Macaca mulatta: one gene and its partners. The protein of the gene in region 7 interacts with the protein of the main gene of each other region in a pairwise test. Links are inferred from orthologs where the notes say so. Each region holds a gene or a part of one and is shown on either strand. Other genes may lie near its edges. The genes, in order: CEP63, ZBTB9, DMD, SNTG2, BEGAIN, SPZ1 and DTNB.

What was found.
Region 1: the proteins of DTNB (region 7) and CEP63 interact in binary tests that used the Homo sapiens proteins (3 or more experiments, as listed by UniProt). The two-hybrid records come from large-scale screens. The link is inferred for Macaca mulatta from reciprocal best matches to the Homo sapiens genes DTNB and CEP63.
Region 2: the proteins of DTNB (region 7) and ZBTB9 interact in binary tests that used the Homo sapiens proteins (3 or more experiments, as listed by UniProt). The two-hybrid records come from large-scale screens. The link is inferred for Macaca mulatta from reciprocal best matches to the Homo sapiens genes DTNB and ZBTB9.
Region 3: the proteins of DTNB (region 7) and DMD interact in binary tests that used the Homo sapiens proteins (3 or more experiments, as listed by UniProt). The link is inferred for Macaca mulatta from reciprocal best matches to the Homo sapiens genes DTNB and DMD.
Region 4: the proteins of DTNB (region 7) and SNTG2 interact in binary tests that used the Homo sapiens proteins (3 or more experiments, as listed by UniProt). The link is inferred for Macaca mulatta from reciprocal best matches to the Homo sapiens genes DTNB and SNTG2.
Region 5: the proteins of DTNB (region 7) and BEGAIN interact in binary tests that used the Homo sapiens proteins (3 or more experiments, as listed by UniProt). The two-hybrid records come from large-scale screens. The link is inferred for Macaca mulatta from reciprocal best matches to the Homo sapiens genes DTNB and BEGAIN.
Region 6: the proteins of DTNB (region 7) and SPZ1 interact in binary tests that used the Homo sapiens proteins (3 or more experiments, as listed by UniProt). The two-hybrid records come from large-scale screens. The link is inferred for Macaca mulatta from reciprocal best matches to the Homo sapiens genes DTNB and SPZ1.

The regions. Positions count from the first base shown.
Region 1 is NC_133407.1:37,528,412-37,532,610, forward strand, and holds the start of CEP63 (centrosomal protein of 63 kDa), read left to right. Parts: upstream 1-1,305; 5' UTR 1,306-1,343; coding exon 1,344-1,619; coding exon of another isoform or gene 1,620-1,677; intron 1,678-4,199. UniProt on the Homo sapiens protein: Required for normal spindle assembly.
Region 2 is NC_133409.1:148,823,502-148,827,718, forward strand, and holds the start of ZBTB9 (zinc finger and BTB domain-containing protein 9), read right to left. Parts: upstream 2,811-4,217; 5' UTR 2,611-2,810; exon of another isoform or gene 2,543-2,610; intron 2,361-2,542; 5' UTR 2,290-2,360; coding exon 865-2,289; 3' UTR 1-864. UniProt on the Homo sapiens protein: May be involved in transcriptional regulation.
Region 3 is NC_133426.1:32,395,841-32,399,439, reverse strand, and holds part of DMD (dystrophin), read left to right. Parts: intron 1-842; coding exon 843-956; intron 957-1,931; coding exon 1,932-2,087; intron 2,088-3,599. UniProt on the Homo sapiens protein: Anchors the extracellular matrix to the cytoskeleton via F-actin. Ligand for dystroglycan.
Region 4 is NC_133418.1:123,844,548-123,848,816, reverse strand, and holds the start of SNTG2 (gamma-2-syntrophin), read left to right. Parts: upstream 1-1,458; 5' UTR 1,459-1,908; coding exon 1,909-1,980; intron 1,981-4,269. UniProt on the Homo sapiens protein: Adapter protein that binds to and probably organizes the subcellular localization of a variety of proteins. May link various receptors to the actin cytoskeleton and the dystrophin glycoprotein complex.
Region 5 is NC_133412.1:173,917,090-173,921,177, forward strand, and holds the start of BEGAIN (brain-enriched guanylate kinase-associated protein), read right to left. Parts: upstream 2,857-4,088; 5' UTR 2,846-2,856; coding exon 2,417-2,845; intron 1-2,416. UniProt on the Homo sapiens protein: May sustain the structure of the postsynaptic density (PSD).
Region 6 is NC_133411.1:86,662,205-86,665,158, reverse strand, and holds SPZ1 (spermatogenic leucine zipper protein 1), read right to left. Parts: upstream 1,708-2,954; coding exon 559-1,707; downstream 1-558. UniProt on the Homo sapiens protein: Transcription factor that binds to the DNA sequence 5'-CANNTG-3'(E box) and the G-box motif. May play an important role in the regulation of cell proliferation and differentiation during spermatogenesis.
Region 7 is NC_133418.1:99,327,700-99,332,000, reverse strand, and holds the start of DTNB (dystrobrevin beta), read right to left. Parts: upstream 2,809-4,301; 5' UTR 2,580-2,808; intron 1-2,579.

The DNA of each region.
Region 1 (4,199 bases), on a different chromosome or scaffold from region 7:
CGAGCTTCAGTAGGCCTTCTATCCTTGAACTCTTGCTTCTTGTCCTAACTTAAATCTACTAAACAAGCTTTGTGATCAATTGCTCAGGTATTATTGTCTCCAACTGTTATGTGTACATTTTGTACCCAGGATTCCTTAGTAGATCTTTCTACAATTTGGCCTCAATCTTTTTCACCTGTCCCTTCTCCAAACACCTCAAACCCTGTCACATTTTCCAGCCTTGACAGTTAAAACCCCCCTTTCCACATCACTAATGCCACTCTTCCTTTCAAGATCAACGCAGGCGTCAGCTCTTGGAGGTCAACATCCCATTTCCGGGGTTAGGCGTGAAGGTGCCTTCACTCTTAAGGGGCTGGAAGGATGGAAAGCAACAAGATAATCTAATCAATGCCCAAGGCACAGCCACCGTCCCAAATACTCGTCACACAATACGACCACTGTTTCCTGAACAAACTTTTCTTACACGTGACAGTCCCGATGCCTGCAATGCTGTTTGTTTCTTCCTTTTTATTCCAGCGAACCCATAGTCAGTCTAAAAATCTCAGGTCTCAAGTCGCTTCCTGTAGGAGGCCGCCTCCAAACCTCAGGCTGAGCGCGGTCCCAGTACCCACCGGGGATCTCATAGTTCCCTAAGCACAGAGCATGGCACCAACTAGGTAGCCTGTCAAACAGCCCAGATGTATGTCTTTCCAGACACGCAGTGCCTGCGTTTCCCGGGACAGGGACATGTCTTATCCATTTCTATACATTATAGCTTTGTAAACATGTATCTGTAAGGTCAAAGCGGGAAAATATTGTTCCTTGCTAGAAATGAGCCTCGCAGGCCACCACACTGTACGAGAGGCCGCCCCTCAGCCGCGGCTTCCGGCCTGACGCAGGATGTACCAAACGTGGAAGCGGAGACGGGGAGGTCTGGGGTGCCAAGCAAGTCCCTTTCCTCCCGACACAGCGTGCAGTAAAGAAAACGGTTATGAGCGTAAAGTGACAGCCTCGGCCGATGGAAATAGGGGGAAGTCCGACACTGAGCCACGAACGCATTCCCGCGCCTCCAAAACCTAGGCCGGGGGCGCTGCAAACCCTTACCGTTACGCGGCCCAGCGCGGCAGACGCTTCCTCCTGCCACGCCCCGCATCACGTGTCTGCACGCTCTTTCTCGGATTCCCGGATGTGGGTGAGTCCATTTGCTCGCGTGCAGGGGAAGTCTGGAGAAGACATTGATTCAATTATTAAAAGTGTGGGGGCAGTGGGCGGAACGAACGCTCCGACTGCTGAGGCTGGACGTAAGCTTAGTGGTGGCGCGCGTGCGCAGTGCACGCCCGAGGTAACGGCGGGAAGGCTGAGGGATGCGCTTGCTGCAGCCGTGTAACCGCCCGTGCGCAAGACGGAAGCGCAAGGGGCGAGCGCGTCCTGGTCCGGAGGCGGCCCAGGCTGCCTTGGTGACTCTGGCTTCGCGGCCTCATGGCTTGCGGCCGGTTCGCGCAACAGTCTGCGAACCACCAGGCGCCTCCCCGCCGGCTCGCGTCCGCCCCGGAGCCCCGTCCCTCGGCCTGGCCCGCTATGCCCTGCACACCGGCGTAGTCCGGCATGGCGCAGCCCGGCGCGCGGTTCGGCCCCGCCAGGTGGTCACAGCGTTTCCTCGGAGGCCGGGTGGCTGGGGGCGCTTCGGAGAGTAGCCAGGTGGGCGGGCGAGCTGCGCCCAGTACTCACCTTTCCCGGCGGACCCACCTTTCTTTTCAGCGGAGGGACCCCTGTGCGGCCTCCCGGCCAGGGCTGCTGTTTAGCTAGCGCTGTTAGGACTACTTCATTCACGGCACAAGGGGACCCGCTCATTTAGGGTGGCATGTTAAGGTTGGCAGCTTTTAAAATAGTGAGTTGGTGTAAACGGTTATGTTTAGTACAGCAGGTACGGAAATATGGCAGAAATCGTGGACTGAAATTGGAGAACCCTGAACTAACTGCTCCATGCACACAGATCAGGGATAGAAAGAAACAAGGACGGTTTCTTAGGAACACTTTAATCATGGAGATACTTGAAGACAGTACATTTAGGCTTATAATGTGGTTTTTTTTATGTCGTATACGACATCAGGAGAGTAAAGATGTGTATGATGTCAGAGACTAGTCATCTTGTATAGTTTAAGCACCGTACACTAATATGCACAAAGTAGTTTTCCCTGAGCTTTATGTCCGGTTAAACTTATTAAAAGAATTTATTCTTTTATAAAGCAGTATTGTAGGGTAGATGCTCTGTATTTATACAGTTCCTCACGTGCTTGCGTTTATTTTTTAGGTAAGAGAAAATCATAAGGATCGTTGATTAGATTTCTGTTAGCTGTAGCTTAATAGTAAAACAAAGTATATATATTTTCTTATTTGGAATGCAGTACTATTTTTAGATTAATTTTTGAGATTGCCTTTTGACTGTGGCATGATCAGTGATCAGGGTAGTAAAAAAGGCTCTGAAACTAAAATGGGGTAGAGATTTATAAACAGGCACACTGCCTTTTAAAATGTATGTAGATGCAACTCTAAAAGTTGTTTGTAAAAATTGTATATGTTGATTGTACTGATGCCATTTTCTCTCTTTAAAAGGTGGAATGCCTTTGCTTAGTCCTTTCTGTTCTAATTTACGTTGTGCTGGCAGATGGTGACAGCATCAGTAGTCCACTCTGTCATTGCTTCCTGCTTTCAAAAAATGTCAACTTGATTTGGAATTCAGCTAAAGCCAACATTGACACAAGGTTTCAGGAACTGAATTTCCGATCTTTATGTTATTTTAGTCCCCTGCCCGCCCCCGTCAGGAGCTAGGTTTTTCAGTTTTGCAAAGCCACACTACTGTCATTACACATACACAAATTAATAAAAATTCTCTAATGTCAATGTCCAGTCAGATTACGATTTCTTCAACTCTCTCTTAAATGTCTTTTTTGCAGTTAGCTTGTTTGAACCAAAATCCCACAGGGATCTGCCTGTTGTGTTTGGGTGATGCATATTTGACATCTTTTAATCTATAGCAGTTCCCTCATAGCTATAGCTATGGGATTAGCCCCTATTTTTCCTTACAGTTCTAAATTTAGCAGATTACATTGCACAGTATCCTTTAACAGGTATCTCTGTTGCCTTTATGGCTTCTAAACCAGGGGCCCCCAAACCCGGGGCTGCAGAGCACTACCAGTCCGTGGCCTGTTAGGAACCAGGTTACAGAGCAGGAGGTGAGTGACAGGCGAGTGAGCATTACCTACCAACTGAGCTCTGCCTCCTGTCAGATCAGCTGTGGGGTTAGATTCTCCTAGGAGCATGAACCCTAATGTGAACTGCGCATGCAAGGGATCTAGGTTGCATGCTTATGAGAATCTGACTAATGACTCATGATCTGAGGTGGAACAGTTTCATCATGAAACCATGCCCCTAACCCTTGCCATGTGTATTATTCATATTACTGAAGAAGTGGTTGGCCGGGTGCGGTGGCTCACGCCTGTAATCCCAGCACTTTGGGAGGCTGACGTGGGCGGATCACGAGGTCAGGAGTTCGAGACCAGTCTGGCCAACATAGTGAAACACCGTCTCTACTAAAAATGCAAAAAAGTTAGCCGGGTGTGGTGGTGTGCGCCTGTAATTCCAGCTACTCGGGAGGCTGAGGCAGGAGAATCACGTGAATCCGGGAGGCGAAGGTTGCAGTGAGCTGAGATCACACCGTTGCTCTCCAGACCAGGCTACAGTGTGAGACTGGATCTCAAAAAAAAGAAAATAAATAAATAAATAAAAAGTGGTTTGGCCATTCCTCCCCCAAAACATTTCATATGAATGTTAACAAAAAGATATTTACAAAATTTTTTATTTCCACCCTGTCCGTGTTGAAAAATTTTCTTCCGTGAAACAGGTCCCTGGTGCCAAAAAGGCTGGGGACCACTGCTCTAAACCAGTAGTTAGATGTAGAATTGCACTGTCCAGTATTGTAGCCACCAGCCAGCTGTGGGTAATTAAAGTGAAATAAAATTAAAAATTCAGTTCCTAGGCTGGGCGCGGTGGCTCATGCCTGTAATCCCAGCACTTTGGGAAGCCGAGGCGGGCAGATCACGGGGTCAGGAGTTTCGAGACAAGCCTGACCAACATGACGAAACCCCGTATGTACTAAAAATACAAAAATTAGCCGGGCGTGGTGGCAAGCGCCTACAGATTGCCTAGTGGCTACTTTTTGA
Region 2 (4,217 bases), on a different chromosome or scaffold from region 7:
TCAGCTTGTGCTGTCCCAAACCTGAGTCCCTCTGACCAAGGCAACTTGTTCAGAGAGCAGTGGTGCCACCCTGAGAGCACTTTAGGACAGTGCCATCTCCTGAGATCACTAGTCACATTCCAGTCATTGTGACCAATATATGAGTTACCAGTGGTGGTCAAAGGTAGACCAGAGGCACAGGCTGTTGAGGGAATACCCTCTATTAAAGAAGGTTCTAAGAATGAAACATGGAATGCTCAACTTGTTAAAGTGCTCAACTACAACATTAAAAAAGTGTTGGAAAGGTGTCTACTGGTGAGAAAGCAAGGTACAATCTGAGGGGCTCCTGGAAAGATACAATTTTAAAAGTACACAAAAGGAATTCTGCTTAAATCATTCCAGCAATGAGAGAGAAAAAAGTTTAGAGCTTAGCCTCTGAATTACTCAAGCTCTAAATCAAATGTATCCGTAGGTGGAGACCAACTCCTTTAATTCCTCATGGAGACGGAATAAAACATTTACCACTGTCTTTTGCTCTAATTCTTCTCTCACTAAATAATTGAAAATCTGGTTTCCTTAATGGACATCACCACTACAAAAATGTCCACCATGGGCAAGTGATCAACTTAAGTATGAATGGCCTATAAACTGCTTTCCTGCAGGGTTGGCTAGCCAAAACCTGGAGTGGGATGAGAAATTTGAGTTTCCACATCTGCCAGGCTGAGAGGCCCATATCTTAAAACAAGAGGTCCATAATGTATCAATGTATCTATTCTCTTGGCATGATTACAAGATCCATGACTGGTGTGCCATGGTAGTGAGGGAAAAGTACCCATCAGCAGCAGTGGTTATTTCATTCTAGAAGCTAGTATATAGCCTCAGCAGTCACTTGTAAGTCCAGTGGGCAGTGGCCCAGCCCTGGCCCTTGCACAGGTCCCGGTGGCGGAGAAAACAGGCATGGACTCGGAAACGACGGCCACAGTGGGGACAGGCATGCAGGGCTCCAGCATGGGTCTTCATGTGCTCTGTCAGATGGTGCTTCAGCTTGAAGCGCTTGTTGCAGACGCCACAGCCAAAAGGCCGAAGGCTGAAGGTCAGCATGATGTGCCGGTCACGCTTTGGCTTCACTGCAAACCGCTTCCCACACAGGCAACCAAAGCGTTTTCCATCTGCAGGGGGTGTTCCCCCTAGCTTCACAGGCCCATGAACAGCCTGGCCTGCTCCCCCAGGTCCTCCTCCCCCTGACAGGATTTCATTCCCATGAAGATCCACTGGTTTCCAGGATGGACCCCCTCCCCCAGATGTTGGCCCTGCCCCTGAAGGCAACAAGAACCCTAGCTCCCCATTCCCTTCAGTGTCCCCTCCAGAAAACACTTTGGTTTCCTCCTTTGCTCCTCCAGGCTGAGTTCCACTTCCTGATATCTCCTCCTTAGGCTCGAAGGGTTCCTGCTTAATGTAGAAGATTTTAGGGGGCAGCGCAGTAGGAGGGGCAGGAAGCTCAACTGGTGCACTCTCACCCTCTGGAAGCTTTCGGGGAGTAGCAGTCACGGGCAGTGGGTGGGGTCCATGAGGACGGGGAAAAACCCCTGATACTCTCTGGGGCTGAGGAGTCTGAGAGAGTGTGGCTGACCCCTGGTCCTCATCATCATCTTCTTCCTCCTCCTCCTCTTCTTCTTCTACCTGAATTTGCAGCACTTCTCCCAGTTCACTTCCCTCCCCTCCCACAGGGCTCTCAGTGGAAGCAGGGCTTTCAGTGGAAGCAGAGGACTGTACTGGAGTCTGGAAAGGCGAAGAGCGAATGCACCAGCCTCCTGTAGAGGATGTAGTGGAAAGAAGGGCATGGTAGGAGTTTGCTCCACGGGCTGAAATTCCACCACCTGAAGTTTCTAATTCTCTAAGAATCTCTGAGCACTGATCTACTACTTGCCACATTTGAAGGCCACTGGCCACAAGGAGATGAGCAGGAAGAGCATCCAGTGGTAGGCGGAGACGCCCTGAATAAATGAGCTGGAGCAGCCCTTCGAAGGCATCGGCTTCAATGACACTCGGCAGAGTGAGACGAGGTGCATCCCCCAGAAGCAGCTTGTCATGGAAGTAAGGAGAGGCAGCAGCCAACACTGCTTTATGAGCCCTAAGTTCCCGGCCCTGCACCAGGAGGGACACATCACAGAACTTTCCCTCTAGCCTGTGGCGGTTCAGAGATTCCAGTAGCGATGAGCTATGCTGCGGAAACTCGATCTGGATTGTCCGTGGGGCTGGGTTGCAGGTCGGGGAGGCGGGTACGGGCGGCAAAGGCGTTGGGGTTTCCATGGCCTCCTCGAAGGTGAGAAGAATTGGGAAGACGAGAGGGGCCTGGGGGTAGACTCTACGCGGGATGAAGGCTGCAAAGGAAAAAGATGGAGGTCACAGAAGCCCTGGATAAAGGGAGCCACATCTCTTCAAACAACTCCCTCCCCCCACGAGCAATAACTGGAAACTTTTAAGTCAGTGGCGGTTTCTGCAAATCAGTCCAGCACACCAAGAAAGAAAAACAAACAAACCACCACCACCACCAAACACCAACCGGGGTTGTAACTTCCAGCCCCCGTGGAAGATGCGAAGGAGGTCCTTCAGCCACGAGCCTGTCTTCACCTGCCCAGAACAGCTCCTGCCCCGCCGCTCCGTTCCGCCTCACAGTGCCCACAGAGGTCTGCTCCCGGGAAACCGCGGTCACCCGGACACCGGGAGTCCCGGCCCGGCTGTCCTTCCCGCCGACACGCCCCCGCCGTTACACACGCGGCGCTGCCCTCGCAGCTACAGTGCCGCTACAGCTCCGTCCCAGGCCGGAAGCCGCCGCCTCCCCGCCGGACGCCGTCGCAAAGTGCGGCGGGCGGAGCTAGAGGCGTAGCCAATCGAGGAAGGGCAGCCTACAAGCCTCGTGTTGACTGGCTACCGCAGACGAGGAGGGCGGTGCTAGTAGGAGGGCGCTGGCTCAGGGTGCCAGCGTATCGGGCGTCTGGGGTAGCTGCCGAAGTCCTCGCCGCTACAGAGGACCGAGAGCCAGGTCCCAGGAGAGAACAGACCGGTCGGAGGGGGCGGGCCGTCAGCCGCCCCGGAAAGCTGCGTTTCCCGGTGATTAAGTGTAGCACCCGCCCCCGGTAGGTCCTGAGAGGGGCAAGATTAGTTGGGCACTTACCATGTGGGCCTGGCACTTGCCCACATCACCTTGTGTCCTCCCACCGGCCCTGCGAGGATGGGGGTTGCCGTCCTCAGTTTCCAGGCGGGGGAAACGGGCTGGAAGCGTCACTCAGTTAATAGTAGTGGACCTGGGACTGGATCTCAGATTTGCTAAGGAACTAGGCAGGTTCTTTCCTCTGTTCTGCACAGGAGCATTTTAACCAGCAATTAAAGAAACCTTACTTCTAGGTGATTTTTAAAAGAGATAAATGTGGATATATACATGAATTCTTTTATCAGATAACGCCGCTGTTCCTGGCCTCAGACTAAGTGACACAGTGGTGAGGGGAGGGAGAGACTGGAGAAGTTTGGCCAGTGCAAAACTCCTGCTCTAAAATATAAAAACTCTCATTGGGAGGGGAGAGTGACATTTTATGAGGAGAGTGTGGCATCAGGTGGGGATGTACGGTTTTCCTCTCAGGCTGTCAGCTTCCTTTCAGAAAGCAGATCTTACCACCGTACAGGTCTGTCTGGAGAGCCCTGCCTAAGAAAGTCGGCACAGCGATAAAAGAACAATCTCCGTTTATTAAACATGTTTTTTTCTGTTTCACCACACACTCCAGAAAAAAAGGAAATGGGGCTGGGAGTGGAGAAAAGGGGACAGCGAGGGGGGGATAGATAAGGCTGGGAGTGGGGTGGGGAGGGAGAACGAGAAAACAAAATAAAACAGGTAGGAAGAGCATCTCCCTACCCTTAAGGTAGTGGGTGGGGAGGGAAGCAGAGGGGCGGGGGGGGAGGGGGCCAGGAAGCTCTGTACAGAAGGGTTGCCCCCAGCCCACACACACACACCCCGGATATGTACAGTACAAACCCCAGATAATTACAACAGCCAAAGAAGAGAGAAGGAAGGTTGGGGAGGGTCCAGGGCTAGGGCCTGAGGTGGGGAAAGGGCACAGGGATAAAATTTCACATATTTACAACTTTTATATAAGTATAAATTTGGCCCCGGCTGGGTGTATGTGTGGGGGGATGGGACTGAAGGGAAACTGTCCATACAAAAGAAAGAGTAGAGTCTAGGAGAG
Region 3 (3,599 bases), on a different chromosome or scaffold from region 7:
GAAGATGTGGAAAAAGAGCAAATGTAGACTTGAAAGACAACAGCAAGGTGATCATGTTGAAGTTCTCTGACTTAGATAAGTGCTTTAAAAATTATTATTAATCATCATATTAAAGGGGAAACTTTCTGTGGAGCATGTATTTTCAATATACATTTAAGTAAATTGGAAGAAAACTCATGTAGACAGTAGAGTTCAATCATACTTTTTAAAAGTAGCGAAACAGCAGAAAGAAAGGTAATATGGCAAAGAATCATGGATGAGAGATATTGGCTATTTATAAATGATAAAAGATGATGATTTTTACCTGATCATTACTTCATACTGGTCAGACAAATAAAAACAAAAGCTCTCTCTTCTAAGATGACAAAATCTTAGTCCGAAAGTTCACAACTGGAGGGACTATTTAAACTGTCATCTGTAGAAAACAATTTGTGAAGTTCGAGTTTAGGGAGGCTATGAAGACACCATTACATTGAGTTTATTGTTCATAGTTTGTTTTATGTACTGTAAGGGCATATTGTTAGTATTCTCATGAGTTGTTTTGTAACTTAAAATTTCTCTAGAGGGGGATATGATTTAATGTTCTTGAGAGTAACATCATAAAACCGCATTTGGTAGTAATTTTTTATTTTTAACAATAGCAGACTTCACACACCAGTGCTCATACAGTAGACCATAAAAACGCAGTCTTAGTAAAAATATTCTTTTCCTCAAGAGCTACTTAGAGACATCCTTTAAACATGGGAATCGTTTTTGGGCTTGTGTTTAGACATAACACAATGATGAATTGTATTAGAAGTAATCAGCACACCAGTAATGCCTTATAATGGGTCTCGTTTCAGAATCACATACAAACCCTGAAGAAATGGATGGCTGAAGTTGATGTTTTTCTGAAGGAGGAATGGCCTGCCCTTGGGGATTCAGAGATTCTAAAAAAGCAGCTGAAACAGTGCAGAGTACGATTTTTATATGATGTCTTTAATATGAATAATTTTGTATGAATATTACTTGGTTAGATCAGTGTTTTACAGCTGGGGTGGATTTTGCCCTCCCCTCACCAGCAGATGTTTTTTTTAATGCTTGTAGACATTTTTGATTGTCATAACTGGGTTGGGGGTGGTGGTTAGATGCTACTGGTGTCTAGTAGGTAGAGGACAGAGATGCTGCTAAGTATCTTTCAGTCCATTGAACAGCCCTCCACAACAAGGAACTGCACAATCTAAAATGTCACTAGTGCCAATGTTGAGAAACCCTGGGTTGAGTAAGTGAGGAATTGAGAAAGCATTGCCTTGTACTCAACGTCAGTTGATAACATTATTTTGCTATAAAATGCAGTATAATTTAAAGGTAAAGAATCCTTTGAGCTACTTGTTATTTCTTACAACAAATTATTATTCATACTGTGTTGTTCTCTTCATGTATAATGCACTGTACTATAACACAATATGTAGTTTTGAAATAATATTCAGTATACCACTGTCATGCAGCAGGAAGAAAATAATCTTGCTCTTTAAAGAATTTTTTTTTACAATACAAGCTAAAAAAGCAAATCCACCTTCACACCCATTACACTGTAAACAATTATCTGCAATATCCTGTGTTTGAAAATGAAAATACTAACCAAGATAGTAAAGTATGAAGCCCATTTTCACACATTTTTCTAACCAGAAATATTAGATTTATTTCCTTTTGTTTCTGATATAAGTAAAATACAAATAATTCCCCACTGGATTCATGCCATAATAACCATTGAACATTTTTGCAAGACTGTTATGCAGTTGTCTATATCAATATATTTGTATCTCAGATTTTAAAAGACAAAAATCCATATGCGATGCCATCAGTCCTAATTTTACATTTTCTAGCTATGTTGCATATTTAATATGTGGCAGTAATTTTTTCAGCTGGCTTAAATTGATTCATTTTCTTAGCTTTTAGTCAATGATATTCAGACAATTCAGCCCAGTCTAAACAGTGTCAATGAAGGTGGGCAGAAGATAAAGAATGAAGCAGAGCCAGAGTTTGCTTTGAGACTTGAGATAGAACTGAAAGAACTTAACACTCAGTGGGATCACATGTGCCAACAGGTATGGACAATGTCTTTCACTGTGGCTAGTCTCAATGTAGTTAAGATTTCCTAATGTCTCCCTTCACCATTACTTTTGTTTAAGGCTTTGTTCCTACGCTGTTGCTTTAAAGCACAATTAATTCTGACAAATTAATCTTTTTTCTAGCATATATAAATATTTTCATAGTATGTATTTTAAATAGTACACATTCATCTTATTGTGGTCCTAAAATGACTTTCTTGAAACAGCTGTCATACTGAAAAATGAAATCCTATTCGTAGTCATTATTTCCAATCCACGTTTTCTTCAGAACATAAATGTATAATAATAGATTAAGAAAAATACATTTCACAGGGATATTTGGTACAAAATAAAATGAATGGGTAATATATGTGTATGTAGAAATAGGGTAAATAATTTTTACTTTTGATTAACATTTCCAAGTTTGGCCTCTTCAATACATTTATTATTTATTTATTTTATTTTTTGGGACAGGGTCTCCCTCTGTGCCTCTGTCACCCAAGCTAGAGTGCAGTGGTGTGAACTCGGCTCACTGCAGCCTCAACCTCCTGGGCTCAAGCAATTATCTCATCTCAGCCCCCACAAGTAGCTGGAACTACAGGCGTGTGCCACGATGCCTGGCTAGTTTTTGTTATTTTTTTGGTAGCAACAGGGTCTTGCTATGTTTCCCAGGCTGCTTTTGAATTACTAGTCTGAAACAATGCTCTTTCCTTGGCCTCCCCAAGTGCTGGAGTTACAGGTGTGAGCCACCACACCCGGCCGACATCTATTTTTAAATAACAATTAAGATTCAGTAACCATTAAGAATAGCTGAATAAAAAAAAAAACCACAAAATGACTGTACACTCATATTTGAGTTTCTCATTTTTCTACAGAAGAATATTTTATAGATACCTATTTTATAGTTAAATATTAAATGATGGATAGTAAGATACATTAAAAAATAATGTATATCAAATAATTTGTGTTCAGAAGGTAAAATTTTGAACTAAAGCAATGAATACTTTTAAGTCACCAATACATTAGTCCCTGATGATCTGCAGTTTTGCTTTCCATGGTTTCAAATGCTTGTGGTCAATTGGAATCCTAAAATTGGCGAGCACAGTAAAATAAGATACTTTGAGAGGGAGAGAAAGAGAGATAACGCGTTCTGTTTTATTAGCTGTTAATCTCTTACTATTCCTAATTTATAAATTAAATTTTATCATTTGTATGTATGAATAGAAAAAAACCTAGTGTATATAGGGTTAGGTATTATCTATGGTTTCAGGCATCTACTGGAGGTCTTGGTATGAAAATGCCTTCCACAGATACAAGGGAACTACTGTGCCTTTTTGGAAATTAATAAGGAGTTTCAATTTACGTGTTAGAGGCAGTCAGTCTCTCGTTACTGCTAAGTAAACTTTCAAAATAGAAAAGAAGTAATGTCAAAAGGCAAAAGCTACATTTGAAAATGAAAAAAAAATTAGAAAAGTCAAGGCAAATCACTCAGCTAATACAATCACTGAC
Region 4 (4,269 bases), about 25 Mb from region 7:
GTACAATATTTCTTACCAATTCACCCAAGAAGCATACTTTGTAAGAGGCACTGAACCAGGTATAGAAAGACCTGATTTTTGCGATTCAAGAGCTCGTCCTCTGGTAAACCGAGTGCTAAGAAGTGCTGGCCGACTGCCCTGCAGGCTCAACAGGAATACAGAGAACAGAGAAATGGGGAAGGCGTCTGTGTTCGAAACCCAGGTCAGCTCAGCGGTCAAGCAAGTCGGAGTCAGAAAAAGTAAAGTGTTTAACATCGATTTTTCAATATTTATTTGTTTACAATGCGTCACATTCTGTTCCTAGATAGGGTTAACCTCTGAAGACCTCCGATTTCGCTGCTTTTCCTCGCCGTGGAGCGGGAATGAAATCGGCGTCCCGGCCTCGGCGATGCGCGCTCGTTCCTGGGCCGGAGGATTTGGAAAGGGAGGAAAATATCCACATTTTTTAAAAAGTGGGTAGCCCTTGGCTCACGCCTGTAATCCCAGCACTTTGGGAGGCCGAGACGGGCGGATCACGAGGTCAGGAGATCGAGACCATCCTGGCTAATACGGTGAAACCCCGTCTCTACTAAGAAATACAAAAAATAGCCGGGCGAGGTGGCGGCACCTGTGGTCCCAGCTACTCGGGAGGCTGAGGCAGGAGAATGGCGTGAACCCGGGAGGCGGAGCTTGCAGTGAGCTGAGGTCCGGCCACTGCACTCCAGCCCGGGCGACAGAGCGAGACTCCGTCTTAAAAAAAAAAAAAAAAAAAAAAAAAAAAAAAAAAAAAAGTGGGTAGCCTTGTATGCCCCCTCACTCCCCCGCCGCACTGGAATCTATCCTAAACTTACTTTCATTTACATTAAAACGGGACGGTTTGAGTCTACCAAACCCAATACCGCATCTGTGAGGCTCCTTTTGGCACAAACCTGAATGAACAGCGGGAACCGCCGCCTCCGCGGGCGCCTGAGATCTGGGGTCCCCTCCCCACCCGGTCTCCCCGCTCCAGCCCCCGCCCCATGAGCCCCAGGAAGGCACCGCCGAGCGCCGGGTCCTCGCAGGGTCCGGGAGACTCCGCGGACCGGAGGCGGGATGGGGGGCCCGAGCTTTGGGGGCGGGAAGGGAGGGTGGGAGGAGGAGGAGGGGAGCGGGGTTGGGGGAAGTTGGGGCTTCTGTATCTTTTCTCTTGGTCAGGACATCCTCGGGCCCTGCGCTGTTTCTCCAAGGGCTGGGGAGACGCCGTGGGGAAAGGTCTGAGGATGCGGCCGGCGCGCACAGGTGTGGGGGCTTCAGAGGGCCCGGGAGGACCCATGGGCCTCGAGGCTGTGGACTGGAAATGCCCCTGATGAGAAGCTGAGAACCTTTGGCCAGGGAGGTGGGGCGGCCGGGAGAGGTCGTCAAGCCGGTCCACAGCGCGCCCGTCTGCGCCCCAAAGGAGCGGGGGTGCCCCCCTCCCATCCACCCACCCGCCGCCGCCGCGCGCCGCGGACCTCGGCGACCCAGCCCGGGTAGAAGCGCGCGCTCCCCGCCTCCAGCCTCGTGCGCCGGCCCCTGCCCCGCCGGCCCCGCGATGGTGCCCCCTCCACCCCCGCGGGAGCGCCCCTGTCCCCCCATCCTGGCACTTTCCCCGGAGTCGCGCGCCGGTTTCCCGACCCGTGGGAGCGCCCCTCTCCCGACTCCCGCGGATCCGCGCTCGCCGCCCTCCCCGCGGGTGCGCGCCCGGCCCCTCCTTCACCCGGGGCGGGTCTGCGTGGGCGGCGCTCCCGGGCGGCGGGCGGAGCTCGGGTTCCCCAGCTCCGCGCCCCGGTGTAGCCTGAGCTGGAGCCGGAGCCGGCCGAGGGGCGCGGACGCCAGGCTCCTGGCTCCAGGGCGGGGTCCTAGCGTTGAGCTCGGCCGGCCCGGAGCGCGGACCCAGCCGCAGGGGTAGCGATGAGCACCGAGGGACCCCCGCCCCCGGCCGGCCCCCGCGGACGTCCGGGCTGCCTGCTGGTGCCTGCGCGGGTGAGTGCGGCCCCTCTGCGCCCCTGCACCCCCGGCCCGCTTCCTTCTCCTTCGCGCCCGTCTCCCTCCACGCCCACCTCGTTCCCCGCGACCCCTTCCCTGTCTCCGCGGGCGGCTGGTCGGAGGGTGGACGCCGGAGCCCCGGGACGCAATGGGCACCCGCCCCCTGGCCGCTCTGCTCCCTCCAGCGCGGTGTCTTACTGGAAACTTGCAGGCTTTGCTCTTCGAGTGTCTTGCAAGGCTTAGGTTTTGGGGTGCACGGGCTTCCCTAAACTGCGTGGGAGGTAACGCTTTCCAGAATTTGGAATTTGAGATCGGCCCCACATTCCTTCCCAGGAGCGGCTCCTTTGGGTCCAGGCGGTGGTGCGGACCTGAGCGTCCCCCCTGCAGCCTTCTGGCGCCCAGGCCGGGTCTGAGCTGGCTGGAGTGAGCCTGGCCAGGTGCGTGGCGCGGCCTCGGCAGGTGCTGGGGGCTCTTGGCCATTCGGGGAGCCGCTGGGACGCCAACTGGGTAATACGGTTTCTTTTTTGAAGTCTATTCTAGTTCTTACCCTAAATAACTCCCTCTCTACCTTCTTACTTTTAAATAACTAAACTATTGATTGACAGAAAACAAGTATTAGTTCAAAGAAAAACGAAAAGTTCTTGGAAACCTTCAAGTTGCCACCCACAGCACAGCCCCAAGTTGTGAAAGCAGTTTAAGGGAGCACGTGGCCACCCCAGCCCTAGGAAGCTGCCTGGGAGCGCGGCTGTTCAGGAAAATGCATTGACAACCCCTCCTTTAGGATTCCTTCCCCAGGAGCTCCCAGTCCCCGGAGCCACCAGGAATAGGACAGCTGAGAGACGGTTCAGAAGGCCACAGGCTGAGGGCTGCTACACATTCCTATTGTCATAATAACGATTCTAAACTAGGACAGTGGTTGTAGCTACTGTGTGATGTTAAAAAAAATTATGGAGATAGATGCATCTTCATTCAAGTCGTACCTTTCTGGGCTTTTACTACAAAATATGAAAATTAAATTTCATGTAAAATGTGGGTGTTTATTTCTTGACGTATTTGTAACATGAATAGCCATCCCGCTGTTGCCCATGGTAATCAAACCCGAGAAAGTACGCGGGGATTACCTGGAAATAAACTGCAGTAAAAACTGCAGGCGCTCTGGAATCACAGCTTTCCCTCTGGTCACCGCCTTCAGCTTTAAAATGATGCCCTCCCATGGTTAGGAATTGTGCGTTTTTCTCGAGACATTCTTGCAGCAAGTCTTGCTTTTAATCATTGTAATTATAGCAGAAGCTTTGAAGTGGATTCATCATACTTCATAATTGACCCACTTGATGAGTTATTGGCAATAACGTCAACAAATACAGCAACTGCGCGTATTCTAGTAAATGTTCTCATTTGTGCTCAGTGTTAATTAAGGGGCTGAATTTGATGTTTTCCAGTCAAGGGTGGCCTCTGCTCACCTGTTTGCTACAAGATGTGATTGGTGCTTTCTTTGTAATAAGGACCTTGATTATTTGAAACAGCCTATCTGAATTGTGTTGAAAGAAACTTTTTTTTCAGCGTTGGAAGCCAATTATTACAATAAGACGGAAGCGTTTTAAGACCACGACTCCTAACTTTGCAGTCATAAGTAATTAGGTAGGTGCTGAGCCTACCTTAGACACCTTAGCCTACCTTAGACATTAGACACGGTCGTGTTAGCTCAGATTCTTATTTATTTAAAACGAATCTGTTAAGTATTGGTGTTGGCAGGTTTGTCTTGAATGTTCTTAGCATACAATGTCATCCTTGCTTAATGGCAGAGACAACTGCGCAGAATTATTTTCTTACCATAACTGCATAATATTATTCAACTTGTGTAATTATTTCATCATTTCAGTGAAGAGAACTTGGTGCTTTTAACTGGAAAAAGGTGAAAGTCTTTTCTAAATCTTACCTTTCTAGTCATGTTTTTTTTCTATCTGGAGTTGAAACCGTGCACATTCTTTATCATGACTCCTTGTCTGAATCATGGAATTTGGCCACGTTTGAAGGTCTCCTGTTCAGTAGCAAAACTGTCTTGTGTCCCCTTTCTCGTGCCTGTTCTCGATGTCTTTTTCTAAGTTAAGTCAGTTCATGGAGCTCTGTCTCTGACCATACCTGGATTTTGTCTGTCCGTGATAAAATCCCACGGACAGACAACCCTCAGTACAATGTGCTAAGTGTGTCTTGCTTGTAGCTTCAAAGACTACTATTGGTTGATGTTTACAGCATATTTGCTGCTTTTAAATGACAGCACTACTTCTG
Region 5 (4,088 bases), on a different chromosome or scaffold from region 7:
GCTCTGCCCCTGGCCCTGTGCTTCCTGCTCCGTCTTGACTTTTGTTCTCAGATAAACACTGGATTGAGTCATTCACACTAGTATAAATGAGGCTCAGTCCCAAGTCTGTGATAACCGGAGGTCCCAGAGACCTTCTACAGCTGCCTCTTGTTTGTTGACCAACGAAGAGGAGGACCAGAGACTCACCCACGGCCACTCAGCCAGGCAGGACAGCACAGGACAGGAATGAAACCCAGGGCTCTCCTGGGGCAGCAGCTTCCTCCCAGAACTGGTTCATGGTGGAGCCCCAGGCTCGGTCTCTCAACAAAGGGTCTGCAGGCTGGTGACTGGAAGCCCGGGATCTGCCTTGCTTCCCCAGAGCTACCCCTCCAGAAAGCATTCTGGGGATAGAGGCTTGTCCAGGCCAGGAAGGTACAGGGCACACAGTGGGTACTCAAATCAACAGACAAGCCCCTGTGAAGGGCTGGCATCACTATCTTTATCACCACTATCATCCCGGCGGCTGAATCCCTACCTTGTGCCAGGGCCCTTCCTCAGTTATCTCTAATGTCCCCATGGAGACACTGGGGGGAGTGTGACTTCAGCCAGGGCACAGCCCAACCAGGACTCTGCTGGACTCAGCTTTCCGGGCCTCAGTGCCTGCTTTATGGAACGAGCCTGACCCTAGGATCCCTTTCACAGGCTTGCTGTATTTGATTTGAGGCTGGAGCTGGAGGGTTCAGAGTTGGCGCCCATCATGAGATACGATCCTGGGGGACTGGTGGGAGAAGGTGGGGTGTAGCAGGAGTTAGGCCTGGCGACCGGGGCCTCCGAGGCCAGGTATGGTCCAGCCCCTCCTGCTGAGGCTGATGCCACCTCTCGCTTCAAGCAGTCAAGCTGGGCTCCTGGGTGGGGCCACCCTGGCCAGGCCCCAGGGTGCAGCCTCGCCCCTTGAACATACTGTTGGGCCCCAGCAGGCCCTGAGGCCCCGAGAGATATGTGCAAGAAGCCCTGGGATGGAATCTTCCAGGGCCCAGGCGGCACCAGGACTCCCCTGGGGCTCAGCAGTCCCCAGAGGGCGGTCTGCATGGTAAGCGGAGCCAAGAGCAGCAGAGAAGCGGGGCTCCCAGCTCACCACCCCCTGGAGGAGCAGATGGGGACACAATGCTTATTAGGTGCCTGTGACCATGACTGACTTTTCACTGCTGGGGAAACTGAGGCACAATGAGGCTGGGTGACCTGTCCAGAGTCACACAGAAGGCCACTGACCCTCGAGATGCGCTTCCACCCAGAGCTGCCTGGCCCCAGCTGGCCATGCAGACCTACGGGGAAAGGGCTGGCAGGGCTTCAAATCACCAGAACTTCCCACCCACCGGCCTGTCCCTGGCCATCCCTGGACAGAGCAGTTGACCTGAGGGCCAGCAGCACACAGGTGGCAGAGGTGCAGAGGTGGAGGGCAAAGTGCCTGGGCCCAATCCGGCTCCTCCACCTCCCTCTTCCTCTGTGCACTGGGGACATAATGATGGCGCTGACCTCCTGGAGTTGCGCCCAAGCTGGGGGTCAGAAGCTGAGAACACTAGTCAACGCTCCGTGAGTATCAGTCATCGCACTCAGCCGGGGTTTGTCCCCAGAACAGAACCCCTCCCAGCAGAAAAGCCTTCCTGGGAGGCTACAGGTTGATATCCCACAAACCCAGCCCACCGCCTCTGCCTCCATCCCGTGTTGGGAGAAGGTGGAACTGGGGCACGAGCAACATCCAGGCAGCCCAGGGGTCCTCCCTGGCCCACGGGACACAGACGGTGCAGGGCATGGAAGGTCAGCACCAAGGTGGGGGTGCCAGTCCCTGAGTGAGGTCCCACCTGCCCAATGCTCTGCACAGCTCCGTCCCCAGGACAGCTAAGGAAATCTCACCACATCTTTTGTCTGTCTGTCTGAGGTCAGAGTGCATGTGTGGACGGGGTACGATGAAAGAGCTCTACAGCCCAAGCCAGGACTCCCTGTGTCACCTGGGGCAAGTGGCAGCCCCTCACAACCTCAGTTTCCAACTCCATGTAATGGGGGCAGCTATGAAAGCTCACCTCCCTGCCTGACAAGCCTGTGGGACAGCCTGCCTCATGTGGGGTTGTCTCAGGCTCAAAACTGTAAAAGGATAATCACAGGAAAGCCCGAGGTAAACCACCAAGGCTTTGCCACAGTGGGGAGAGGATTATGATAATTGTTATCATTACTGTTCACGCATGTGCATTCCATACAGAAATAGTCTGCCTGCCCCAAAGTCAGAAATTTCACCTTAGAGATTCATTCCTTTGGCAATTAAGGCCTTTCCTATTACAGATATTATAAAAGGGGTGTGGGGAGGGAACTTGGAGCAGGTCAGACAGGAACTGTGGGGAAACGGCACATGAGGAGGGAAGAGACCTCTGGGGTTGAGACTCACCCGACCTGGAGGCCTCCAAGGGGAGGCAGCTCGGCCTCCGCGCTTGCCACTGCCCAAGCAAGGCCCACTAGTTCCCACGGCCTGGCCTGGCCCCACTCTGCTTGCAGCCTCAGCGGCCGCCTCCGAAGAAGGCTGGGAGCTCAGGGCCGGGTCCTTCTCCCCTGGGGCTGCAGCTCCTGCAAGGGCCTCCTGGGCCAGGCCTTGGCCTCGATCCACTGCGGAGGGCTCTGGGCTGCGGCCTCTGGGTACCCTGAAGGCCTCCAGGGTCCCAGGGTCCAGAACCCGCACAGTGACCTCATCCAGGAACCTGGAGAAGGGCAGTCTGGCCTCCCGCCGGCGGCCCAGGCGTGCGAGGGAGCCTGTGACAGCCCGGCTGCCTGTGTTCAGGGACTCTGGGGAGGACGGCCGGACTGGCGACACCCGGGCCATCTCCTGGCTGGGCCGAGCTGCCCAGCTGGGGCAAGATGATTTGCCCTCAGGATTCCGACCTTGGCTGGGGCTTGGCATGTGGCTTCGAAGGTCCTGTCTGTGGGCTTCCTTGATGGCGGCTGCTGCCCTGGGCTCCAGGAGGGAGCTGTAGCTGCCCTGCTTGGGACAGGCAGGGTTAGAGCCCCGTACCTGGGAGCTGGCCCCTGAGAACATCCTCCTGAGTCAGTCCAAGGTCTGGGCTCCCCAAGAGCGCCGTGACCCACTCCTCTCCTCCCATGGGGCTGGGATCCCTGTGCCCTCTTAGGGGCTGTGCCTCCCGTCCTCACAGACCAGGGCAACCAGCCAGATGCCCGCCTGCCCATTGATCCAGTGGCAGGGCCTCACGGCCTCCCACCCCCAAATCGATTCTCACTAAATGGAAGCTGAGCTTCAGGGCTTAGAAAGTGCTAGAGAGGAGAAGGTCATGTCCTGGGCTCTGCCTGGGGAGGTAGCCCGCCCTGAGTGAGCTCCTGTGGTACACAGGACCCTGGACTGGGCCTCCCCCTCTCCTACTCTGACATCTCCTCTGCCAGGTGCAGTCCAGGGTGCAGGGGCACAGAGGACAGGCAGTGGACAGATGGCCACGATGGTCACCATGACAGCGTGAGCACTGGGCCTGAAGCAGGGCAAACTGGAACTGCAGCAAACCAGCAAATGGGAGGGGTCGGCAGAGGCCGCGGGCAGCCCACTGTCCTCCCGTGCATCCTTATTACAGAGCCTTCATTCTCTTTTGAGATACAGGGTAGTTAGCTAAAAGACCATCTTTCCTGGGCTCCTATGCAGCCAGGCCAGGAGGTCGCCAATGAACTATAAACAGAAGTTGGGTGTGACTGCTGGCAGAGCTCTGCGAAAAAGATCAGACAGACAACCTGTGTCCTTTTCCCATTCCCCATCCTCCTGCTGCTTCTCTAGAACATGGAAGTGATGGCTGGAGCTGTGGCAGACATTTTGCACCATGAGACAAACTTGTGGCAGAAGCCATGTATAAAAGATGGAGGAGCAGAAAGACAAAAGGAATCTGGATCTCCCATGACCACTGAATCATCACACCAGCCCTGCATCACCTGCCTCTGGTACTGTTTTTTTTTTTTTTTTGAGACGGAGTTTCATTCTTGTTGCTCAGGCTGGAGTACAATGGCTTGATCTCAGCTCACTGCAACTTCTGCCTCCCAGATTCAAGCAATTCTCCTGCCTCAGCCTCCAA
Region 6 (2,954 bases), on a different chromosome or scaffold from region 7:
AAAGGTCACAACTAAAGCATTATGTACTTTTTTACACTTAATTTTTTTTTAGAGATGGGATCTTGCTGTGTTGGTCAGGTTTATCTCAAACTCCTGGCCTTGAGCAATCCTCCTACCTTGGCCTCCCAAAATACCACTGCACCTGGCCAAAAACACTATACACTTTTTTCCCCCAGAACTCCCCCTGCTCCCAGGCAATGATTAAATAAAGAAAAAAAAATGTTCCCTTGTATTCTGGTTTTAATGTAGATCTTTACTTAATTGGACCTGTAACTTCTCACTCTAGGCTGTCTATCTAATAATTACAAAAAAAAAAACAAGCAGATTGTAAAGGTGAAAAGTTATGAACCTGATGTAGACACAATGGTCATCAAAGACCGGACTTACATAACTGCTGAGGTAATGAGTAATGTAAGTGTTAATCTTCTTATTCTATAACTTTTTCTTGGTTGAATCAGCAGATCTGCCCAAGGTCTGATGATTGATCATGCCTGACAAGCTGGATGTATCAGATGTAGTTTTTTAAGGATTCACCTTTTCGTCTGCTTTTGGTATTTTCTATCTTAGGCTGCTAGCTGACCTCATTTTTCCCCTAAGAGCTTTTCTTGCAACATGAATATTGAACTGGTTATTGCAAGCTTTCTTATTAAGACAAACATCCAGGCTTCTACAGGATCTGTCTTTTTTACGAAATGTACCCTTCATTTCTTGCTTGTTCTGCTTATACATTTCTACTTTCTTTGCTTCTGATGGCTTCTGATTTTTCTTGTCCTGTTTACAGTTTATCTGAATTGGCTTCTCTTGCAGAGTTCCCTGTTTCTGATGATGGAGTTCCTTGAGAATCTCTACTCTCTGCTGTAAGATTTGGCATTCATTCTCTAGCAAAGCTGCCATCAACTGCAATGAATAGGTGTCATGGCTTAGTTTCTTCACCTGCTCCTCCAGCTCATGCTTAGCTGACACTTCATTATTTGGCTGGGTTTGGAAATCGACTCCATTATTTCTGAGAGTTTCACTTACGTCTTTCTGAGATTTCTGATAGGATTTTATCAGTTCACTGAGCTCAGTATGTTGTTTACTCCAGTGTTCTGCTTCCTGTAGTAATTGCTCCATGTTGTTCCTAATTTTCATAGTTTCTTCTTGAACATTAAGGAGCCTGTTTTTCGCTTTTTCCTGACTTTGTTGAGTTTCGTTGACTTTTTTTTCTTCTAAACGATTTACCAAATCTCTTGCAAAAACTTGTACTATGTTCTCAGAGTCCTGGTTTTCCAATATCATCTCCTGTTTATGTTCATTCTCTTCTTTCTCTGGGGCTAAATTAACAGGCAGGTTTGTTGATAACATTTCATTGATTTTGTCAAGTCCTCTGATATTTTCTTTGTGGGCTGACACATCCTCAGAAATATTGGTTTCCTCAAAAAGTTCTTTTGCTTCTGTGATCTTCTCTTCAAAACCTGCCATATTTTTAAGAATATCTTTAATTTCTTTCAAGAGACTGTTAAACTTCTCTGCAGTCTGTTGTTCTGTAACTTGATGGCTGCTATTCTTTAGGGAAGGGAGAGAGCCCCAGGAGGAAGGGGAAAGTGATCCAATTTCGAATAAGGCAATGGTAATCCTAGGGTCCAGAGATTCTTGATGAGGATCAGGAGTAGGGTTAAGGGTTTTGGAGATGGTGGGCATCTCAGCTGACTTCGCAGAGTTGGCCATTGGGACAGAAGGAAAGCAGAAAACCTTAGAGATTCCAGGATGGACAGGTGATGTTCCTTCGTGCAAATGTGGCTGGAGATCAAGCAGAAGTCAGGGACCAAAGTTAAGGATTAAAATTGGGGAGCTGATGTTTAGGTGGAAGGTGGCATCTCAGACAGCCTTGTGGGGAGGAAGGGTGGGAAAGGGGACCAGGGCTGGGGCTCCATCTCTTCTCCTCTAGGCACCCGGTGTTTATTCTCTGGCCCTAGCAACCAGGTCTTTATTTTGTCACTGCACCATTGTGGCCTATCCGTAGCGTCACAATGGAAGTCTCTTAAATTCCTGCCCAGTGACTCCTGCATCAAAATCCACCTTGAGCTACCCCTACTCCTCATGCCAGAAAGAGCTCATCAACAGCTCTTCCCCTCAATTTCTAGGTTGCTATTCATCTCAGTCTAAATGCACTCAGTTACTTCCCTACCTCACCTCTATCCCCTCACAATCCTGACCTCAACCGCAGCATGTTTTGACCACTTAAGGGCATTGCTGAGACCAGTCCTCTCTGGTGAGGTACCCATCCTTTCATGGCACCCACAGGCTTTATTGCTCCCATCCTAGGAGAGATGTGACTGTAAGAGAAAGTTATCCACACAAAACAAAACCCTGAGAGTGAGAGCCTTTTGTGATTTTAGGAAAGTAATGTCAGGAGTCCCTCCATTCAAAAATATTCTACTGCTGCAAGAAGGGACTATCTGAATGGTTATTTATAATAGCAACACAATTACAAACTGGGACTTTTCTTGGCTTTCAATATAGGCATCCTTTAAGACAGGCTTGGCAAGCTTACTCGCAAATCATTTACATCAGGTGATAGAAAACTTTGACCATTACTTTTCACAGTAACTTATTTGGGGATTTTTTTTTTTTTGGCTCTTTTATTGATCCTCTAAGATTTCTACACTCTACACAGTAACTTGTTAAAATGACACAATTATGTTTCTAAAGTGTTTGATTAGCAGGGCATGGTAGTGTCTGCCTGTGGTCCCAGCTACTTGGGAGGCTGAGGCGAGAGGATCACTTGAGCCTGGGAGGCTGAGGCTGCAGTGAGCCATGACTATGCTACTTATTGCACTCCAGCTTGGGCAACACAGCAAGATCCTATCTCAAAAAATTAAAAAATTGGCCAGGTGCAGTTGACTCATGCCTGTAATCCCAGCACTTTGGGAGGCTAAGGCAGGCAGACCACTTGAGGCTGGGAGTTCAGGATC
Region 7 (4,301 bases):
GCATATCCACACTGCATAAGCCACCCTCTGGTTACTCACTTGGTAGCTGTCTCAATGATCAGATTGACTGTCATGGTATCACAGTGCTTGTGTTCAAGTAACCACTGTTTTACTTAATAATAAACCCGAAGTGCAAGAGTAGTGATGCTGGCAATTGGGATATGCCACAGAGAAGCCAAACATATGCCTAACAGAAATCATTAATCTCTCATGGTACCTAATTTATAAGTTAAAACTGTATCATAGGTGCTTAAGTATAGGGGAAAAAAACAGTCTATATAGGGTTTGGAATCAGCTGTGGCTTCAGGCATCCACTGGTGCTCTTGGAACATATCCCTGAGGCTAATGGGGGGACCACTGTACACATTTTTCCAAAACTCATCCAACCACACATGGGAAATCTGTACATTTTATTGTGTCCACTATACATCAATAGGTTGGTTTTAAAATAAATATATAAACAAAATATCATCGAGCGCGCCTGGAATAAGGCACCCAATATTGTAGAACCTATGCACCTCTCAACAAGAGACCTGCTGGCTGTACACAGTCACACAGAGTATGCACTACACAACTCCAGGAGCTGCCGGGCACGGGGACTCCAATGTGAATGGTGCTCCCTAAAGCTGGGCAGTATACAATCTACACAACTAGACGCCACAGCTCTGATGCTCATATAATTCAAACAGGAGAAATAAATTTACTTATTCAAGACTTCCTATACAATGCCAGATTTTGATTATTACTCTTATTTTTCACACGAAGAAACTAAGGCCCTGGGGTAATATAAAGACAAAAAATAAAACAATAAGTTGAAATTCTCTTGGTTCTGAGTCTAATTTTCTAACCATAGGTAGAAATTTGTCTCCCGGGCATAGTGGACATCCAAAAACTGCCAGCACTACCTTGACTGCACAACCCCTTTGAAAGGCAATTCCACTTATGCATTATGATAAAAATCCTCAGAGAACTCATAAAAGGTCAAGTTTTAATTTGGCAGACAAAGTAACCCAACAGGCACTGCAACCCAGGTTACTGAAACAGCAGCCTGGAGCTCCAGAGTTCAGAGATTCAACCAAGGCAGAGGACAGGTAGGATTCTAGCCCTTACAGAAAAGCAGAGGCACCGATAGCCTCGCACTACAGGTCTAAGATCCAAGAACTAGGATGAAAATGAAAAAGTGTTTTCTAGACAACACAACCCTCTTCCTTCTCAAGTGACAGGAAAAGCCAATGGGAGAAGGAACAAAATGGGATGATCTCAAGCAACAGCCCAAGGAGCAAGCTCTTGACGGTCAACATGTAAGACACATGGGAAAGTGGTAGTATGGCCACAGAAACCAAGACCTCGCCGCCTTAGCCATTGCTTTCACGTGCCCAGACCTTAGAAACTGGGTTGCCTGGCATGGCAAAAAAAAAAAAAAAAAAAAAAAAAAAGGCAGAGAGAGAGAACTTGTGGAACAGGGGAAATCTAGCAACGTTCCCTAACACTAGAGTGACTGACACTGCTCCATGGCAAATGTGGCCAAATCTTGCTTGTCCATTCATTCATGCAATAGACATTTATGGCTCGACCGCTGTGAGACAGGCAACATTCTGAAGACTTTGCAGTGAATTGTCATGGAGCTTATTTCTGGTTGGGAAGGAAGGAAACTTCCTTTCTTTCCAAACGTCTTTTTTCCCCTCTGAGAGCCCCCTTTAAATGGTACCCGTAGGAGCCTTCGAAACTCTCCCAAATTTCTCCCATAGGCTTATTTGACCTTTCCGCTTTTTCTCCAAACCACGCAAATTATGGCTTCAATTTCCCAATACTGGGAAAAGACAAAAGAGACCTAAAGTGAATACGGCATAAAACATAAAATTGGACGCTCTTTTGTATTTTATGTGCATATCTTCACAGTCACACTGCCAGCACCTCAATAACATGAGGGTGTTTCATACTATTTCGTGGCCCCAGTGCTGACTACGGGTCTCTACCCACAGTAGCTGGAAGGTCTTTCTAATCCCAAGGCCTGGCACGGGAATTTAAGGGCAAGTATTCGTTACCGGCATCCTCCTCTCGGGACACTTTCCTGACCAGGGTGACCTCCCGGACAGGTTCGCTATTAGGCGCCTCGGGAAAAAGTGATTTGGGGTGATCTGAAATAAATATCCTTCCCTCTGCCAGGGCCTGCCCGCCTCACCTGCCCTCTGCCAGGACCTGCCTCACTCGCCCCTTCAGCACCTAATGCAGAGCCGCCTCCAGGCGAGCCGGGCTCGGGCAGCATCAGCCCGGCGCCGCGCCCCAGCTCGCGCCCGTGCCCCGGCGCGTTCCGGACCCCGAGACCCCTCCCGGCCCGGGCTCCGCAGCATCCCCTCTGCCTGTCCCTCCGCGGCCGACTGCGCTGTCCCACCTCGCAGCCCCGCGCGGTGCAGTGGCCCCGGCTCCCCGCGCCCTCCCCGCCTCCCGCGGCGCCGCACCCGCAGACTCCCGGGTCCCCAGTCCCGGCGCAGCGCGGGCTCCCGTCCCGCACCTCGCGGGCGCGAGGCTCCAGCCCGACTCTGCTCCCCGCAGCCCCGGCGGCGGCCGCAGACCCCCACCTTGCTCACTTCCCTGCAGGAGCAGGGGGCGTCGGGAAGGTCTCCTGCGGCCTCACTCCTCCTCACGCTCCGGCCCGGCCCCCTCGGCTGAGGCAGCGGCGGCGCCCACTCAGGCCCCGGAGCCGCCCCCGCGGCGAACGTTCGCAGCGCCTGGCTCGCACCGCTTCCCCGCCCGGCACGCGCAGCGCCCGCCCCCGGCGCGAGGGCGCGAGGGCGGAGGGCGGAGGGTGGAGGGGCGGGCGCGCGCCCAGCGCGAGCGCGCGACCGGGGGCGTGGCTTCCGCGCGCGAGGAGGGGGCGGGAGCGGCCGAGCACCCCTTCACCCCGCCCCCGCGGTTCCGGGCAGGCGGGAAGCTGGCTCCATCCAGGCTTCTCCCGCTCTCTGGCGCCGGGCCCGGTGCCTTTCCATCCGCTGGTATCCGCCGGCAGGGTGCCCGGCCCGACGTGACTACCGGGCAAAGAATGCAAAGAGCCACCCCGTGAATCATTCTCTGCGCCTAGGGCACAAGCCTCTGCCCGAGTGACCCGCATGAACTCCGCAAGCTCGCTCAGCCGCGGCGTTCACCCCGCGCCGCACCAGGTACCTGTGGGCGCACGATCACGGTCACAGCGCCTGGGCTCGAGGCTCCCCAAACTTAGCGGGGAAAACAGCCGTGTACACAACCAAGTCCGGTGACCTGTGCAGAGCCAAGGCACAGTGCGATGCTGTGGGAAGGCACAGAAGCTAGAGATGACTTCCGCTTGGACGCCGCAGAGGGCTTCCTGGAAGAGGCGGCATTTATGGTCAGCCTCGAAGGAAGAAAAAGAAGTCCTAAGAGGAAAAAGGGAGGACATTAGGGCTGGGAAAACAGATTGAGCAAAGGAGCCAGGGGCAGTCAGATTTACCATCAAAGCACCAGCTTTTTTGTGTTTTACTGTTACCCATCTTTTATAGAATTCTTTCCAAACTGTGTGAAATACAGGAGATGGTGCCAAATTAGGATGTAGCAAGGACTTTGTAAATGGTTCAAATGGTCATTTTTCTCAACGTTACTTAAGACTCAAAACAGCAACGTCCTTTAGGGGCTATTGGTCAATGATGAAGGCTGTAAGCTCCAGAGCTAAGCGACCCCAGGCTTGCATGCTGGGAGTATGGTTTTCACTGTTTTTTGGCACCTTATGGTAAGGCAGATCGTGCCACCTCCTGCTGCTGCCTGCCTGCCTGCCTTTAGAACACCCTCTTCCTCCTCCTCTCCTCTTTTTATTTTTAAACTCCTATGGTGAAGGAAATGCTGATAACCAACTTTGTTAAATGGGAACAAATAGGTTCCTCAAAAGATGAGCATTTTTGGCCGAGCGTCGAGGCTCACGCCCGTAATCCTAGCATTTTGGGAGGCTGAGGCGGGCAGATCACTTGAGGTCAGGGGTTCGAGACCAGCCTGGCCAACATGGCAGAACTCTGTCTCTACTAAAAAGACAAAAATTAGCCGGGCGTGGTGGTGTACACCTGTAATCCCAGCTACTTGGGAGGCTGAGGCAGGAGAATCGCTTGAACTTAGGAGGCAGAGGTTTCAGTGAGCCGAGATCGCGCCACTGTACTCCAAGCCTGGGCAAGAGAGTGAGACTCTGTCTCAAAAGAAAAAAAAAAAGATGGACATCTTACCTTTCATATATGAAGTGTGAATATTTTCATGCTTGAGGAGACTTATCTCTTGTAGGCACGGTCTTGGCTATGTTTTGTACA